Linked DNA regions of Cricetulus griseus. The protein of the gene in region 1 interacts with the protein of each later gene in a pairwise test. Links are inferred from orthologs where the notes say so. Each region holds a gene or a part of one and is shown on either strand. Other genes may lie near its edges.

The links.
Region 2: the proteins of Tpp2 (region 1) and Polb interact in binary tests that used the Homo sapiens proteins (3 or more experiments, as listed by UniProt). The two-hybrid records come from large-scale screens. The link is inferred for Cricetulus griseus from reciprocal best matches to the Homo sapiens genes TPP2 and POLB.
Region 3: the proteins of Tpp2 (region 1) and Ehhadh interact in binary tests that used the Homo sapiens proteins (3 or more experiments, as listed by UniProt). The two-hybrid records come from large-scale screens. The link is inferred for Cricetulus griseus from reciprocal best matches to the Homo sapiens genes TPP2 and EHHADH.
Region 4: the proteins of Tpp2 (region 1) and Ppp1r16a interact in binary tests that used the Homo sapiens proteins (3 or more experiments, as listed by UniProt). The two-hybrid records come from large-scale screens. The link is inferred for Cricetulus griseus from reciprocal best matches to the Homo sapiens genes TPP2 and PPP1R16A.

What each region holds. Positions count from the first base shown.
Region 1 is NC_048595.1:400,372,570-400,376,881, forward strand, and holds the start of Tpp2 (tripeptidyl-peptidase 2), read left to right. Parts: upstream 1-1,457; 5' UTR 1,458-1,551; coding exon 1,552-1,716; intron 1,717-4,312. UniProt on the Homo sapiens protein: Cytosolic tripeptidyl-peptidase that releases N-terminal tripeptides from polypeptides and is a component of the proteolytic cascade acting downstream of the 26S proteasome in the ubiquitin-proteasome pathway.
Region 2 is NW_023276807.1:61,041,861-61,045,986, forward strand, and holds the start of Polb (DNA polymerase beta), read left to right. Parts: upstream 1-1,301; 5' UTR 1,302-1,399; coding exon 1,400-1,460; intron 1,461-1,643; coding exon 1,644-1,701; intron 1,702-4,126.
Region 3 is NC_048597.1:67,141,409-67,145,472, reverse strand, and holds the start of Ehhadh (peroxisomal bifunctional enzyme), read right to left. Parts: upstream 2,844-4,064; 5' UTR 2,285-2,843; coding exon 2,211-2,284; intron 1-2,210. UniProt on the Homo sapiens protein: Peroxisomal trifunctional enzyme possessing 2-enoyl-CoA hydratase, 3-hydroxyacyl-CoA dehydrogenase, and delta 3, delta 2-enoyl-CoA isomerase activities. Catalyzes two of the four reactions of the long chain fatty acids peroxisomal beta-oxidation pathway.
Region 4 is NC_048595.1:373,948,822-373,952,859, forward strand, and holds the start of Ppp1r16a (protein phosphatase 1 regulatory subunit 16A), read left to right. Parts: upstream 1-1,203; 5' UTR 1,204-1,342; exon of another isoform or gene 1,343-1,352; intron 1,353-1,476; exon of another isoform or gene 1,477-1,613; intron 1,614-1,703; exon of another isoform or gene 1,704-1,851; intron 1,852-4,038. UniProt on the Homo sapiens protein: Inhibits protein phosphatase 1 activity toward phosphorylase, myosin light chain and myosin substrates.

The DNA.
Region 1 (4,312 bases):
CTCTGTGTGAAATGAAGTGGTGGGGCCAGGGCTCATGGAAGCTGCAAGTCAGTTCATTCTGCCACTGCATGCTCAATACTGAAAGTCCCTGGAGAGTCTGTCATTCTCTTTCCTGTACTGTTCAAGTACTCAAGTGCTTTCCAGTTCTGTCCTAAAGGTAATGAATCACCTTGCTCCCTTTCCCTCAGCACCAAGGGCAAACTCTTCTTCCCTTACAGAATGAAAAACAAAGGGAATCAGCAGGAATCACTTCAGACACTAGAGCAAAGTTCCAGGAGTCACTGGGAGTGCTGTGGTTGGAAAACTGGCCTATAAGGTATTCCACTCATCTGCCTCTTAAACTGGAGTCCACAGAAATGCAAAGGGCCCATGTTGCATAGGAAAAATTATTTTCACCTCTGAAATTGTTTCTTCCTAATTATGAGTGTAGGCAACAACTAGACACTGCTGCTTTGTTACCAGTTAAACTAATCTGTGTAGTTTGGATATATTCAAATGTCATTTACACTTGCTTCCCGATTTAGATATCACAGTAGACTTTTGAATACTTTGTGAGACTTGACGCTGGCTCTTGTTATTTAATCAAAACAAAGCACATGCATAATTATTTACATGTGAAGCTATCAACAGAAATTGGGTTTTAGAAGCTATTTTAAGTTTACCTCTTGTATAGTCCTATAGGTTTCGTCTAATGCATGTAAAAACATTGCTGTGAGAGGGTCTCATAAGATTGTCAATGGGGCAATTAAGATTACCCTGGGAGACATAGGCACAGTCAGCTCATTTAGGAAGCACAGAACGCCAAAGTTGGTCACCATCACTGGACATTGTAATGAGAAAAATGCAAACTATGGCTCAATAACAGTGTTGAGCCTGAAGGAGACAACAGGAACTTCGATGGAGGAAAGCAGGCAGATACTTTAAGGAATCCTGGATGCCACGAGTAGGCCATGAAGACAGCAGGGACCCATTTCGGTCCCATGCTTTGTTTCAGAAACACTGGGGACAGAACAGCCCACACCCCTCTTCCTGTTGACTAAATGGCTGCCTCTCCCCACTCCATTCATCCACCTCACCCCCAGAACGCGGGGGACACAGAGACTCCCCGGCCAAATCTGAGACCTCTGAACCTGACTTTCCAGGGCCAACATTCGCGTGGCGGGGATCCCGCGGCTCAGGCGGGCGGCCTGTCCCTCTCAAGGCTTCTCACAAACAGTGAGAGCTTGGGAGAAAGTCCGGCTGTCTGCGCACCCCAAACACAGTCCCTTTAAGAACCTGGCTCCAGCACAGAGTCCTCAGCCCCAGCGTAGACTCCACCCCTGCGCTGCAGCCCGGGCAACTCTCCTATCAAGCGCCTTGTAGAGGCGCCGTTTGCTTACGTTGCGAAACATGATTGGCTGAGCATCTGTAACTACATGCGATTGGGTGCTTTTGGCCTGGCACCGCCCTTTCCCCCGCCTCAGGCCCGCGGCGGCCCGGTGTCCTCGCGCTGCCGGTCCGCGAGCATTCTGGCAGTTTGCCTCTTCCTCCTTCGTCCTCCCGCTCGGGTCCATGGCCACCGCCGCAACTGAGGAGCCCTTCCCTTTCCACGGTCTTCTGCCGAAAAAAGAGACCGGGGCCGCCTCCTTCCTGTGCCGCTACCCGGAGTATGACGGGCGCGGGGTGCTCATCGCCGTCCTGGACACGGGGGTCGATCCCGGGGCTCCCGGCATGCAGGTGAGGCGGCGCTGAGGGCCACGGCTGGGAGGCCGGATCTAAGACCAAGCCGGGGACGGCCCGGACAGCTCCGGGCGACCGCAGGACCCCGTGTTCCCGCTCCGGTCCACACAAAAGCGGCGTGGTCGGCGTGGCTGATCGCGATCGGGGCCGCTGGGAAGCCCTGGTGGTCATCCGGGCGTGCCGGGCCTCACACCTAAGGGTCTTCGCCGGATCTCGCCCAGCGAGGATTTTACAGTTTTTAACCCTGGGGCACAGCGGGGTGGGGTGGTGACACCGATGGGGCAGCAGCCACTTGTTAGGGATGTGGTGTAGTCATTGGTTTTGGCAAAACCAGCAAAGCGGGGTTCCCAGAAGACAACCCGGTCCTCTTCCGGAGTGTTTTCTTCTGATATTTTTATATTTTTAAGTTATCTGCTGTGTGTTTGTTTAGGGTCCTTGCAATCTCCCCGGTTCATCCTTTTACATAAAGCACAATTAATTTGTCAGGGGCGAACTTCTTAGGCATTATGAAAATATGCTTTTTAAACGCCTCAAAACATAGGGGAACATATTTAAGCAATGGTTTCCCCAAATGGCTTCATTTTTCTTTATGCTAGTTGGAAATCTTTAGGGCTGGGATCTAAATCACTTTTATGAAAAGTGATTTTAAAAAAGCCTCTGGGTAAAATGCATTCTGTTTTTAAACTAAACTAGCCTTTTACTAAAACCCACTGATAGATGCTTACCAACCATTGTTGAAGATTTTCCCCAACTAACTTTTTGCCTCCTCTTTGGTCCTGTGTCTGTGTATCAGAGAAATGCATTAGATTACATAGGTAATATCTTAAACCTGTCCTCACAAAAGAGGGATGCTTAATAATTCTTTTATTCCTAATGCTTGGTTTTCCTCCTGTGTTTAGTTCTTTCATTGTGCTGCCTGATATTTGAGATAAATGGATAGTGAGATAATTGACATAGATGCTAGGAATTAGTCAAGGGATAGGAAGGAAGTCTGTGTGACCACTCTATGGATCCCCTTGGGAGTCCTGATTCTGAAAGTTTGTTGCTTCTTCTCTGGAGCTCATATAGTGGTGGTTCTGTCTGGCAGAGCTTCTGATTAGAAGTTCAGGTAATGAGTTCCCTCCAGGTGACTACAATTGTTATTGTTATCTTATTGTTGATGATTGCTAAGGCTTAAAGCATTGTGACAGCAATGCCACATTAAGGGTTTATAACAGTGGAAATGCTGCCCATTACACAGCAGTGTGTGTTTAATTTTTATAGGATGTGTGGGAGAACAGCTAGGATAAGTGAATCACTGGTTGTTTTGTTAAAGGTCAGACAATTTTGAAGTAGTACTCCTCAGTGGACATTTGTAGAAGTTCCAGATCTGCTTATCAAAGTATTTTGTTTCTGTAAAGTAACAGTTTTTACCCTGTAGAATTACTTAATAATTGAGAAGATCATTAAATATACGTGACTTTAAAGTGCTGAAGAAAAGTTTTAAATACTATTTTTAAAGTCCTAAATAAGCAATAAATGTCTATTAGGAGGCATTTATAGTAGGTCTATACTTATGAATTGTCTGAAGGAAAAATATGTTTGATATTTACATATTACATGAATATTCAGTCAATAAAATATTGAAACCAAATGGAAACATAAGAGCATCAAGAATTAATGCTCAAATTGTAAACATGATCAGTTTTTTTTTAATTCAGCAAGGAACTTAGCACATGAGTGACTTCAGTATTTTCCTCACCTGATGAATTTATTTTGTAGCTCTGTGTATACATCATTTTGGTAAGACAGAAATAAAAAGCAAAGAATAGAAGAAAAGGCTGACCTAGCTGTTTGGGATACCAACTGATACCAAAGTACTAGAGAACTTTGAGGGACACAGCCTGCCTTAGGCCAAGTCTTTTTTTTTTTTTTTTTTTTTTTTTTTTTGGTCACAGCTTCTGGGTGTATTCCAAGCAGAGGCAGTGCCAGGTATGATGGCATACTCCTTTGTGCAGACAGATTGAGGAGAGTAATACTTATAGAGATGATTAAATATATTCCCCCAGCAAGCATTCAAGCACCTGATAGGTGTCTACTCTTCCATTATATAATGAAGTCCTGCAAACTGAGTGTTTCAAAGATAGAGAGGTAGGATATCAGGAAGACTGACTGAGAACATGGATGGGTTTCATGACAAGATAACCTTTGGTCTAGATCATATATACAAAAGCAATTATTGCTTCCACCAATCTCATCATTGATCCATGCTTCACATTTCCAAATTTACTACCCATCAAAAGCAAACCTAGTATCGAGTATTTGTTCAAAACAAACTGTTTGCTTTTGAATAAAACTCCAAAATTTTGAATTCTATTACAAACCTTTCACCTTGCAACTGTAACCTTTGGGTATATATAGCCTGAGCACTGCCCTTCATTCCATACTTCTCTCTTGAACCTCTGATTTCCATCTTCTCTAGGCACCTAGCTGTTGCAGGTCCTAATACATGCCTTTGCATGTGGTGCTTCATTTTCCCAAAAGCTTCCTATAGTTCCCTGCAAACTCCCGCTTCATCCTCTGAAGGCATTACTGATTTAATTCAGCCTTTTGC
Region 2 (4,126 bases), on another chromosome or scaffold:
ACTAATTTTGCTACTGTTGTTAGTTTTAATGTAGTTTGTGTTTTCCTGATGGTCTTAGTTGACCCTTGTGAAAGGATCGTTTGACCCTCAAAGGGCTCAAAAACCACAGGTTGAGAACCCGTGCTCTAACTAGCCCCTGTCTCACTTCCCAAGGGCTGTCCTATTTCCTTGCTTTATTTATTCCGGCTGTGTTGTGGGTGTGCAGTGCTGAGAGCCTCATTTCTGCTAAGCATGCACTCTCACAGTGAATCATACTCATATTCTTGACCTGTTTTTAGGACACTTTCTCACTACCTGTCATGGAAATGTGCACAAGACTTGACTTGTCTTTACTGTACATCCCACACCCAAAAGCAGCACCCTATCTTTGCTAATAAAAGTAAGTCATTTATCTAAAGCATTTCTTCATTATTAGAATAACAATGCATTGATAGGCCTGGTGGTGCATACTTATCCCAGCACTCTGACTTTGAGGCCAGCCTGAGTAAGCTACATAGTTAAAGGACAGTCTGGACTACATAGAGGCATCCCATCCCAGAACAAAACAAAAACTAATAACAAGCAACAACAATAATGGAAAAATTAAAAGTTAGGACTGGAATAGAAAAGTGTGTGTTCCAAAATATTAAATGGCTCAGTTGGATGGCAAAACTACCATTGATTTTAATTTTCCTTTATTCTTTCATACTCTTCAGATTTACCTACACTAGTATGTATCATAATAACAATTTAACTTTATACTCAATCAGTTGCTGCAGTTGCAGTTAATATGAACCCCATGAGGTACACTTATAAATAGCTCAGGTGCTATATTTCAATTCAAGCACATCGTAAGGGTCTCACATATAAGCCATATGGTATGAGGGCTCCATTGCCGATCAGCTTGGTCAAACAATTCTTGTGACCTTTTCATACCTTTAGCCTCTCCGACAAAAGGCATGGGTATTTAAAACAAAACACATCTCTAGCCGTTGTTTGACAGGCGTGCTTAAAAAGTTTTGGTTGGCGTATTTCATTCCCTGTTTTACCCGCTGCCCAAGAGCACAGAGCCCCTCTTGGAGTCTGACAGCCAGCCGACCTGGCGCTGGCACTCCACACAGAAAGTCCATGCCATGCGTTCCACAGCTATTGCCCACAGCGGCCAACGTCCACCGCCTTCTGCATCTCAGGCTCTAAATCGCACTGCTCTCCGACCAGGCGAGCAGACGTGATCTCAGGTTAACCCACTAAAGGCTAATTCTGACCTCCCGGCTCCCAAACCGGCCGGGGATTCCCTGCTACTCCCCAGGCGCCTAAGCCCCGCCCCGCCCCGTCGCCTGGCGCGTGACGTCACCACGCTGCGCGCTGTCAGGGCCGCCATTGTCCCACCGGCAGCTCCCAGGTACGGGACCCCGGCGCCATGAGCAAACGCAAGGCGCCGCAGGAGACGCTCAACAGCGACATCACCGACATGCTCGTAGGTGAGTCCCGGGACGCCCTGCGGTGCCACTCCTCAGCCGGGCCTCGCTGCTGTCTCCCCTGGTGGCAACCGCAGCGTCCGTGCCGGCTGCGTCAGTCCCGGCAGGACCCACCCACACCCCCTTCCCGTGACCGCAGTTCCCCGCTGCGTGCTTGTTCACTCGAACTCTTTGTTGTCTTCTCAGAACTCGCCAACTTTGAGAAGAACGTGAGCCAGGCCATTCACAAGTACAACGCGTACAGGTACGTTGTTGGCTCGCATTCCAGGACATCCTGGTTTGGTGTAGTCATTTAGCCGGGATAGAGTGCGGGTGTCCAAGGATTGTTTGGACGACCCGAAAGAGGTTTTAAAAAAGCAAAAACCGAGTGGCACTTTATTTAACATATACAGAATTTTGGCTGAGACTTATAGAGTTAATTCAGGTGAGTTTACAGTTGTGACTGAAAGTAGAGGTAGTCTATACATATATCCCCACCATTATCTTGAGTGACTGGAAATTCACTGTGACTTTAAAACATAGTGAACAACCAGTAGATGAGATCTGTATAATGAAATAGATGTGGCAAGCCCTCGGGAAGCAGAGGCAGATGATCTCTGAGTTAGAGGCTATCTTGGTCTGCCGAGAGGGTTCCAGGACAGCCAGGGCTACACAGAGAAACACTCGTCTCAAAAAAACCCAAACAAACAAACAAACAAACAAAAGCCCAAACAAAAAAAGAATAGATGTGGTTCTGTTTTGACTATAGCTGATCCTGTCACCTTCCTGAAAACCCACTGGCCATCACCCCAAACCTTAGCAGGCATCTTTTCCTAGCCATTATTCCCACAGTTACCTACTTCAGGTACTTAGCCTATAAACATGCCCAAAGCCCTCAGCTTTTAAAAATAAGAGCAAACTGTCCTCATTTTCCCAAGCTAGCTCTTTCCTCTTTACAATTATTGTTCTTTGGTAGTCTGTTCCATGCCAGAATTTCCTCATCTGGAGTCATCATCATCATTATTATTATTGAGATTATAATTATATCATTTCTGCTTTCCCTTTTTTTCCTCCAAACCCTTCCATATGTTCCCTCCTTTAGCTTTCAAATTCATGGCCTCCTTTTTTAAAATTAATTATTGTGTAAATATTACATATGTATATTCTTAAATATATAAATATAATGTGTTCAGTGTGTATAATGTTACTTGTCAGGGCTTACTATTTGGCATTGGCTAACCAATTGGTGTGCTCTTCTCTGGGGAAGACTATTTCTCTGCTTTCTGCATTCCTTAGTTTCCTGTAGGGTTGAGGTCTTGACCACTTTGGTGTGTCTATTTGGCCTTGTTTAGCTCATATTTAGGCAGTCACATTAGTGAGACTCTATGGGTGTGGCTCCTGATATTAGGTAACACAGTCTCATAGCAAGCTCCCTGATCCTCTGTCTCTCACAGTCTTTCCATTTCCTCTTCCGCAATGTTCCCCGAGCCTTAGGTTTGAGAGTTATTTTGTAGAATCCATTAGGACTTGGCTCCATAACTCTGCATTTTGATTGGTTGTGTTTTTTTTTAATGGTCTCCATCTGTTGCCAAGAGAAGTTTCCTCGATGAGAGGTGAAGGCTACACTTATCTGTGTGTATAAGGCTGAACATTTAGAATGTGGTAAGGGGTTAGGCCAGTTTAGGAAAGTGGTGGTTGTAGGCTCTTCACCAGCCCTTAGTAGTTTCCAGTGTCAGACATAGTTTCCCTCTTGATGAGTGAGTCTTAAGTCCAGTTAGAGAGCTATTGGTTACCACTAGGATATGTGTGCCACCACTGCCCCCTTAGAGTTATCATGCCATGCATGTAGTCTTTGTGCTTCATAGGTGTCATCATAGCTGGGTAGGACTGTTGGTTGCTTCCCTCCTTGGGAAGCTTGCCTGGTGCCTTATGATACCATGAAAGCCAGTCTTCAGAGAAGGGACATTTAGGTCAGTTCCAGCTCAGAGGCCTGTGTCTGAAGTACTTAGTGTCTTCAGCAATAGGGACTTACCTTCTACCTCTGGAGTGCCACCAGAGGCAATAGTAATAGCCTGTGTGGTTTGGGAGTCTCCAGCACTGCCCTGGCCAAAAACTCAGAAGAGGTCTTCTTGTGCCTGGTCTTAGATTTTTGTTAGGTATTCTTTGGTTCTTGGATGGAGCATTGTCTGCCCAGATTTTAAACTGTGTGTGTATATTTATACATAGACTTATGTTTATTATAGGCTTTTTTAGGAAGATGGTAAATAATAGGATCCCTTCTGATACTTTCAGACATCCATTCTGTTCATTTATCCTGCTTCTCCATTATCACTTGTACCTTGCTCTTTTTTCCCATCCCTCACTCCATCATCATGTGCACCTCGCTGTTCCTCTCTCTACTGCTCCCCAAAGCCCCTCTCCTACCCAGTTTCTGCAGTTACTCCAAGGTAGGTATTCATATTTGAAGATGTTGAGCTAGAAGCCTCCAATGAGAAAGGACACGTGTTATTTCTCTTTCTAGGTCTGGGTTACTTGATAGGACCTTTTCTAGTTACATCCATTTACCTGTAAAGTTAGTGGTTTCATTTTTATTTTGTTGTTGTTGTTGTTTTATTGTTCTTGTTTTAGGTAGGGTCTCTCTCTGTACCTCTGGCTGTGCTGGAACTCACTATGTAAATCATGCTGGCCTT
Region 3 (4,064 bases), on another chromosome or scaffold:
AAGGAAGCTGTTAAGTTGGTAAACAATTTACGTGCCGTTAAATTTCAAAGTAAAACAGATGGGAATGTGCAGGGTCCAAGATGAAAAATCTCCACGAGGCTGAAGCAGATGTTGAGAAAGGGGGCCACGATAGGAGACTGATCACAGGCTGCTCAGAGATACCAGGAGAACCACAAGTGTAAAAGTCATTTACAATCTCCATTTCATTTAACCCATGGGACTTTTTATGTTAGGTACTTACATTTCTCCAGATTGGGGAGGGAATGAGCAGGTTAAACACTAGAAACGTATCTGACTGTGGACCTGAGATTGGGACATTCCCTCTCACCTCTTGATGGACATAGACATCCCTGCAGAATCTTCTATCTAGTAACCATATCAGTATGCAAACACCCCATGTGGATAAGGAATCATATTGCTTATGCTTTCTTCGTGAAAACACACGCGGCACCTACTTCCTGGTCTCTGGGCTGAGATCAACTGTGAAATGGACATAATCAGTATTTTACTTCCACCCCCCCCCCAAATGGCCAGCAAGTGGATACATATGTGTGTGGTTTTATTCCTGCATACTATTACTCTATCAATACATACTGCATTTGTATTAGTGAATGCAATCCTTCACATTAAAATAAGGATAGTATCAAACCAGGTTAGTAGCACACATCTTTAATCACAATACTTGGTAGGCAGAGGCAGGTGGATCTCTGTGAGTTCGAGGCCCACCTAGTTCACTGATCAGACAGGTCTACACAGTAAGATCCTGTCTCAAAAGAAATTACATTAATAATAAGGATAAAAATTTGACCTCCGTGGGCACTAGGCACGCATGCAGTTCACAGACATATGTGCAGGTAAAACACCCATACACATAAAATAAAATAAATTTTAAAAAAATTTAATATAAAACCTAATGGCAGTGTGGTTTAAAATGAACATGTCTCCTCCTTTCTGTTTTTTGTTTGTTTGTTTTGTTTTTGAGACCAATGTTTCCTCCTGCCTCAGGCTCCTGAATGCTGCGATTACAGGTGTGTGCCAACCCAGCATCTGTTTGTTTTGCTCCAGCAGCTTGTGATGGGAATTTTCACCAAATGACCTATTTTCACTTTATTTATTCTGCTTTTACACAGCTATTTTTCTGGGATTGAAGCATTCCTTCCTGAAGGAGGAGAAAGGCTAAGGTTCAGGAAACTGAAGAAACTGACAAGATTCTGGAAGCTAAATAAATTTACCGATGTTTAAGATGCCCAGGAAGCTCAGAGAGTTGCAAGATTCACACACACCCCACACCGCCCCAACCCCTCACTTCCGAAGTTACAGGAGCAGAAGCAACTGTGGGGGGGAGAGAGGGGGGGGGGGGCGGGAGGGCGTCTGTGCAGTGGAGCTCCCCTCCAGGTCTCTGGGAAGGGCTACAGGTAGGAAGGATTAGGGGAGGAGACTCCAGCACAGTCAAACGGAACTCGTCGTCTTTGCCAGGGAGGATTGCTTTCTAGTGTGGCTGCCCTAAGGCCACCCATGCTTCTGCTCCTAGCTCCCCCCTCACTGTTCTGAAAGTTGGCCGAATAAACCCATTGGTTCCCCCCAGAGTGAACTTGTCTGGAATTGCTTCTAGGGTTGTCCTTTGGGCTGTAGGAGGTCTCCCCCAGGAAAGGGATTTTAGCAACATCTCAGGTAAATGTTGCACACTATCGGTCATGATCCCGTCCACCACTTCGGCAGTCTGCGTACGGGTAATTCCTCCTGAGGCTAATAGAGAATTATACTCTGTTCGCCAGTGATATGGAATGAACAAGATAAGTCAACTTGTTCATTTTCCAAAAAGACAACAGATCTCACTTTTAAAAGCAATGTGCTAAGGGCATTGCACCCAGGGCATGGCCAATGAAGTAAACAAAACTTCAGCTTTTCAGAAAATGCTATGCAGCAGCCTCCTCTGACAGGGAGCTTGGAGCTTGGAGACCCACTCTCTGAGTCGGGTAACTATAGCTTTGGGCTTCACACAGAGAAGCTAGGGTTGCTAGCCCGAAGTAGGGTTGCAGAAAGCCACGCCTCTGTAGGTTCCTGAACCACTAGAACCAAGCAGACTTGAGCGAGCTGTGAGGTTGACAGCGGACATAAGGAAGGCCGGAGCCAGCTGCTCATTGGCAGGTCCTTCTAGGGAGGAGAGCCCCGACCCAGACCCGCCACACCCCCTGACCCGGTGCTGTTACCTGATGGCGTTAACCGGAGGGTTGCAGAGGCGGATCATCGCCAGGGAGTGAGGCAGCCTGAGATACTCAGCCATTTTCTCAAGGTATCCTGCACCTCTGATGTCTGGGACAGCCGGGAGTTCTTTTCTGGGCCGCTCCGAGAGGAGGGGCACGCGCTGGACCAATGGGAGTCGCCGCCACCGCCTCCTGCCCCTTGCACCACATGCTCCCCAATGCTGGCTGCGCTCCAGGGAAGGGTAGTCCTCCTAGGCTAGCAGACAGAATGTCGAAAGGCATGCTGAGCTGCTGGGTCTCACAACTGGAGTCAAACACGTGTTCCGAAACCAATCATCTGCCCCGGCACGAAGCCCCGAGTGCCCGGTCTGCCTGTTCCTCTCTGGTTCTGTCCCCGTCTAAGGGCTGGGATTTCTCATACTTCATCCATGAACTGCACACCTATTATGAGCTGGACGTAGGCTGGATACTGACAATAAGCCATGCCTTGTTTCTTCCCTCTCAAAGCTCAGCCTGGACAGGGTCCTTCCGATGTGCATGTTTTTCATGGTTGCCAAAGCCCACCAAGTAGCCAGAAGACAGTGTACAGGTGGACAAGAAACACACACACACACACACACACACACACACACACACACGCACGCACGCACGCACGCACGCACACACACACACACACATACACACACACACACACGTAAATCTTCACTGATGTTTCCCAAGTTTTAACAAGGTCGAAAGATTATTTCCAGACATGTTCTTTACTTCTTGAAATTAAGAAAGGGTTTAGTTAGTAGAAAAATCCTGAGTGCCCTGGAAGCCCTGGTAACAAGTTGCGTTCAGAGGCATGGGAGCCCCCACATGTCAAGGACAGCCCATCACCCAAAGCACTCCTTCAGGTGTCAGCGATGACAACAGCCTCATGGGAGCAAGCGGCTTCAGACAAACGTCGGGAATCTCTATCTACTACCTCTCAAACCATGCCTAATCTGTAGACTAACTAGTCCCCAAACTCTCCTAGTGTGTTCTGTTGGAGAGAGTCTGCATGGCCAGCCCAGTTCTCCCCGCCTACAGGAGCAGTAGCTTCAGCTTTGTCCCCCTTCAGATGCTGGTAACTAGGAGAACACACTCGGCCACAGTATCCTAGGAACTTGAACAGGTAGAGTTCAAGGTTTAATAGCACTGACTGGCCTTATTGCACCCCTCCGCCTTGGAGCAGGGGAAGATAAGCATATTTGGAGCCAGCTTGTGACACTTTGTCCTCTTCATCTTGTAGGAATCAGTCACTGGCCATCGTGTCTCTACATTTTTTATTTTAGTTGAGCCCAGAGCTTTCTGCTGTGGCTCCCACAGTGGGATCTGGGTGTAAGCTTCTATGTAAATCTAATATACTGCTTGGGTGTTTAGAGTTGGCGACTCAACAGGGACAGGACCTATGTGAGGCAAGTGAGACCTTCAAGGGACAAAGTTCAAAGGGCAGTTACTATCAGGTTCACCCAGTGCTATGCCTCAACAACAGGATCACCCACAGTCCTATCAATTAGTCCCTTTGTAAATGTAGCACATTGAGAGACCATCGGATACAGCTGGGTGGTAGCATGTTGATTTTTCTTTTCCTGCTAGTACAAAACTGTATGCATGGGTTCCATATTTGCTGAGTCCATGGATGTGTAATTTGCTAGTCCATGGATGAGTAACTGTGTTGCTGTTTGAAGACTGCTTGACTATTTGATAGTCTTTTGATTATTGGTTTGATCTGCCATATCCTATTATTTTACTTGTCTTATGAAGTGCTTGGCTACTTCACAGGATCTCATTCCTCTTGGGTAAGCACTGCACACTATCTGCATGTCGCCCTCTGCT
Region 4 (4,038 bases), about 26 Mb from region 1:
AAATTACCCTGAGAGGGATGGGAAATTTCCAGGAGTTCAAGATGAAGTAGTCAAGAAGAAGTCATGCCCTAGGTAGGGGGTCTGCAACCCAGGTCTAGACTGGGGAGGTGGGGGCAGATGGGTGGATGGGCTGAGGGATGACTTCTCAGACCAAAAAGGCATACAGCCTGTCCCCCAAAACAAGGGGAGGGCAGAGATTTAAGTGACTTTTTCCAGGAGTACGTTACAGTAGCCCATGTGGGCCCTTACCTCTTCCTTGGCCATCTAACTGCTGGCTCTACCCTTGGGCTCAGTCACCATCTATGTACTAATTGTTAACCAAGTTCTCCTGGATACTACACTGGGCAGGTTTGCAATGAGGGTCAGAATCATGGCACTGACAGCAGAGGTTGGTACCAGAGTCAATGGTCCCAGATCTGTCTACATCAACACTGAACACTTTGGGAATTCACCTTTTCCTGCGCAGCCCCTCCCCATTATACCATCAAAGGACTGACCGAGACCCTTGCTGGTACCAAGGAAGGCACAGTCATGAGTGCAGGAGGGAGCAGGGTGGGGGTGGGGGTCGGGCACACATGGAGGGTAAATACAGTGGGACTTCACTTCTCCTAATTGTCCTACCCATGCCTGGGTTGTGGTCTTATACCAGACTCTTCTTTCAGTCCTCGTCTGCCTTCCCCTGGAATCCTATCACCTCCTGCCCCTCTGCTTTCCGTTCTCAGGACTCTAGCTGAGGGTTCCTATGTCCCACCAGACAGATACCGCTGGCCTCCGCCCTACTCAGCCCTGCTTCCAGGCTAAAGCCTGGCTCCTTGGTCTGACATTCAAGGGTCCTCATCCTGGCTGCTTCTCCCCGACCACAGTGTCCTAGGGCCCAACCATCATCCAAACTGCTGTCCATCCTCTGGGACACGCTGCTCCCTCCTTTGACCAACAATGAAGGGAAGACTCCAACCCTTCTTTCAAAGACCAGGACAGAGATGACCCTTCCGGGAACACCTGAACACTTGCCCTTCCCATCCCACCCGAGACGTCAGGATGTTTGTGCCACAGAACAGAGGACGGAAAATCCTCGCACAGACTCAACCCATCTACCGGGGCTGGCCCGGCTTCTGGATGGCGCTCTTTAGGCTCCGCCCTTGTAGAACGGCTCTGCCCAGGACTCCCACCCGGCACCGCGGCTTCCGCTCCGGACACCTCGGACCGGAAGTGTCGCGTTGCCATGGCGAGGATGGGCGCGGGGCCCGCCCCCGTGGAGCCTGGAGCAGCGCTGGGCCCCAGGGTCGGCCGGGCAGGGTCTGGGAAGCGGCTAGGCGGGCTCCAGATGAGACAGCCGGCAGTTGTAAGTGAGGGTCAGTCCTGTATGGGAACGTAGGGGCAGTCGGGGCGAGGCCCGGCGCGGAGCGGTGGGGCGGGGCATGGCGGGTGAGCCGGCGCTGCGGTCTCTGCGGCCCGGAGCTGGTCCTGCGGGGCAGAGGAATGGGTCGTGAGGGGCCTGCAGGAGGGGCGCCAGCGAGGCGGCCCGCGGAGGGTTTTTTGTCAAACCTAACAGCACAGGTAGTTCTTGCAACCTGTTGTTCAGGTAGATCGACCGACAGTCTTCATTCTGACAGGTCAGTGAAGGAAGGGACTTTCCTGTGCTTCCTGTGGGTTTGGAGTTCAGTAAAGCACACTCTCGAGCCTCTTAAGGCTTCAAGTGCCCTCGCCTGGAGGCTGTGCCTCATGAATTGTGGTTAGGAGAGGAATGTAGACCAGCCTGTGAAAAGTGTTTGGGCTTCTTTGGGTTCCTGGATGAGCCAGTGCCGGAGGCTTGAAGCAAGGAGGGTTAATTATTACGGGTGCCGAAGAGAGGTGTGTATTGGCTTGCCCCAGACTCGAGAGACAGAGCGAAGCTATCTGACCCCCTAAGCCCTCCTTTCTTCCTGGTCCTTACTTGGGGGTTCAGGTGGAGGCGAGGGCATCGATACCGCAGTTAGCCCTCTATGGTGTCTTTGCTCCCCGGGAATTCCCTTATAGAGGTTTGGTTTGAAGGCTGTGTCTTGCTGCAAGCACCCTAGCTCTCAAGAAGGCCGCCTGATTCACTTCAAGGGAACCAGAGCTGCCATTGGCCCAGCATGAGAGCTGAGTTGGTTGAGGGACTGTTGGCCTGGTGAGACCTGCCCTGACTTCGTATTGTCATCGTGATGGGACTCTTAGAGCTCTGAGGGGCCACTTGCCTGCCTCTGCTCCAAGTTTTGCCCAAGGAGGTTTATTTTTTTATTTTTTTATTTTTTTGGCCTTTCCCTCTCCTGATACCTTAGTTAGGTTTCTTCCTTATTGACTCAGAGGCCCTCCTGACCTCCCCCCCTTTTTTTTGAAAGGAATAATTCTCTTAAATATTATTTATTATTGTTTGGGACGGGTGCATGCCATGGTGTTCATGTGGAGGCTAGAGGACAACTTTGTGGAGTCCATTCTCTCTGTATGTCTCTTTTTTTTGAGGCAAGGTCTCTCTATATGGCCCTGGCTGGCCTGGAATTCATAGAGATCCACCTTTTTCTGCCTCCCAGGGATTAAAGGTGTGAGCCAGCTGGTTGGGGGTAGTGGCACAGGCCTTTAATCTCAGCACTCGGGAGGCAGAGGCAGGCAGATCTCTGTGAGTTCTAGGCCAACCTGGTTTACAGAGTGAGTGTCAGGACAGGTTCCAAAGCAGGAACTCTGTCTCAAAAAACCAAAAAAACAAAAAAAAAGAAAGAAAGAAAGAAAAAAGAAAAAGGAAAAAAGAAAAAAAATGTGGGCCAGCCAAACCCAACTCATTCTCTTCTTCCACCTTGAATGTGGGTTCCAGGGAGTTGAACTCAGGCTTGCAGGGCAAATGGCATTACCTGCTAATCTCTCTCTTTTCACCTTTTTAGACAGGACTTCAGTGTGTCACCTAGGCTGCCTTGGGATTTATACCTCCCTGTTCCAGAGTGCAGGGCTAGTGGACACAGGCCTGGTCCCTCCTGCCTCTTCATCACCAGTGTAGTGGGGAGAACTGGACTCGGTTCTGTGCTAGCAGGCATCCTGCAGCTGGACTTCTATACTCTGGACTCTGTCTGAGGGATTCTTGAGTCTATGCTATGATCTGTCTCACCAGCTGGTTACGGCAATGCCTTCACTATAGGCTGCTGAAGTATCTCAGTCACAGATAACCAGGCTCCCAGCCCTGACTTCCACACTCTCTCTGTCCCACCCACCTACTGGTCAAAACAAGGTATCTGAGGCAGCCACAGGCTGTTTTCCCACCTCTAGACTCTCTTGGAACTCCCTCTTGCATGTCCCATGAACAGTAACATACACACCAGAGTAAGGTCTATGCATGTCCTGTCCCATTCTGTGTTATACTCACCGTGCTGACATATTCAGGTGACTGTTCATCATTTACTGAATGCTTCCTGTAAGTCAGGCACTGGGCTAAACTCTTAAGAGAACTGCAATAAATCCAGAGTAAATGACATGTTAAATAAAACATGATGAGATAAGAGAGTTACAAGGTAGCCATGGGAGACTACTGACAAGGTAATACTTGAGATTAAGGTGTGATCTACATGGTTCTAAGGTACAGTGGGAGGACTTTCCAAACAGGAGCAACAGTGATTTGGAGGTGGGATAAGGATGACAGTGGTAGTACCAGGTAAATGTGACAGGCTTGGGCGTAGAAAACCTCAAAATGTTTCAGATTTTTCAGCCACATGATCTTCAAGACACTTCTGCTGTCTTGTAGAAAAATCAACCCCAGACCACACACAACTGAAGAGCTCTTTCAACAAAATTTGTATTTTCTATCATATACTGAATGGTATTGTTACCTTTTTATTGTTGTTATTATTATTACTGAAAGTAATTTTCAAAAGATTTATTTTATGGTCACTGGGTTTGATGGTGCACACCTTTAATCCCAGCACTTCTGAGGCAAAGGCTGGCAGATCTCTGTGGAGTTGAGGCCAGCCTGATTTGCAGAGCAAGTTCCAGGACAGCCATGGCTATGCATAGAAACCCTGTTCTGAAAAACCAGGA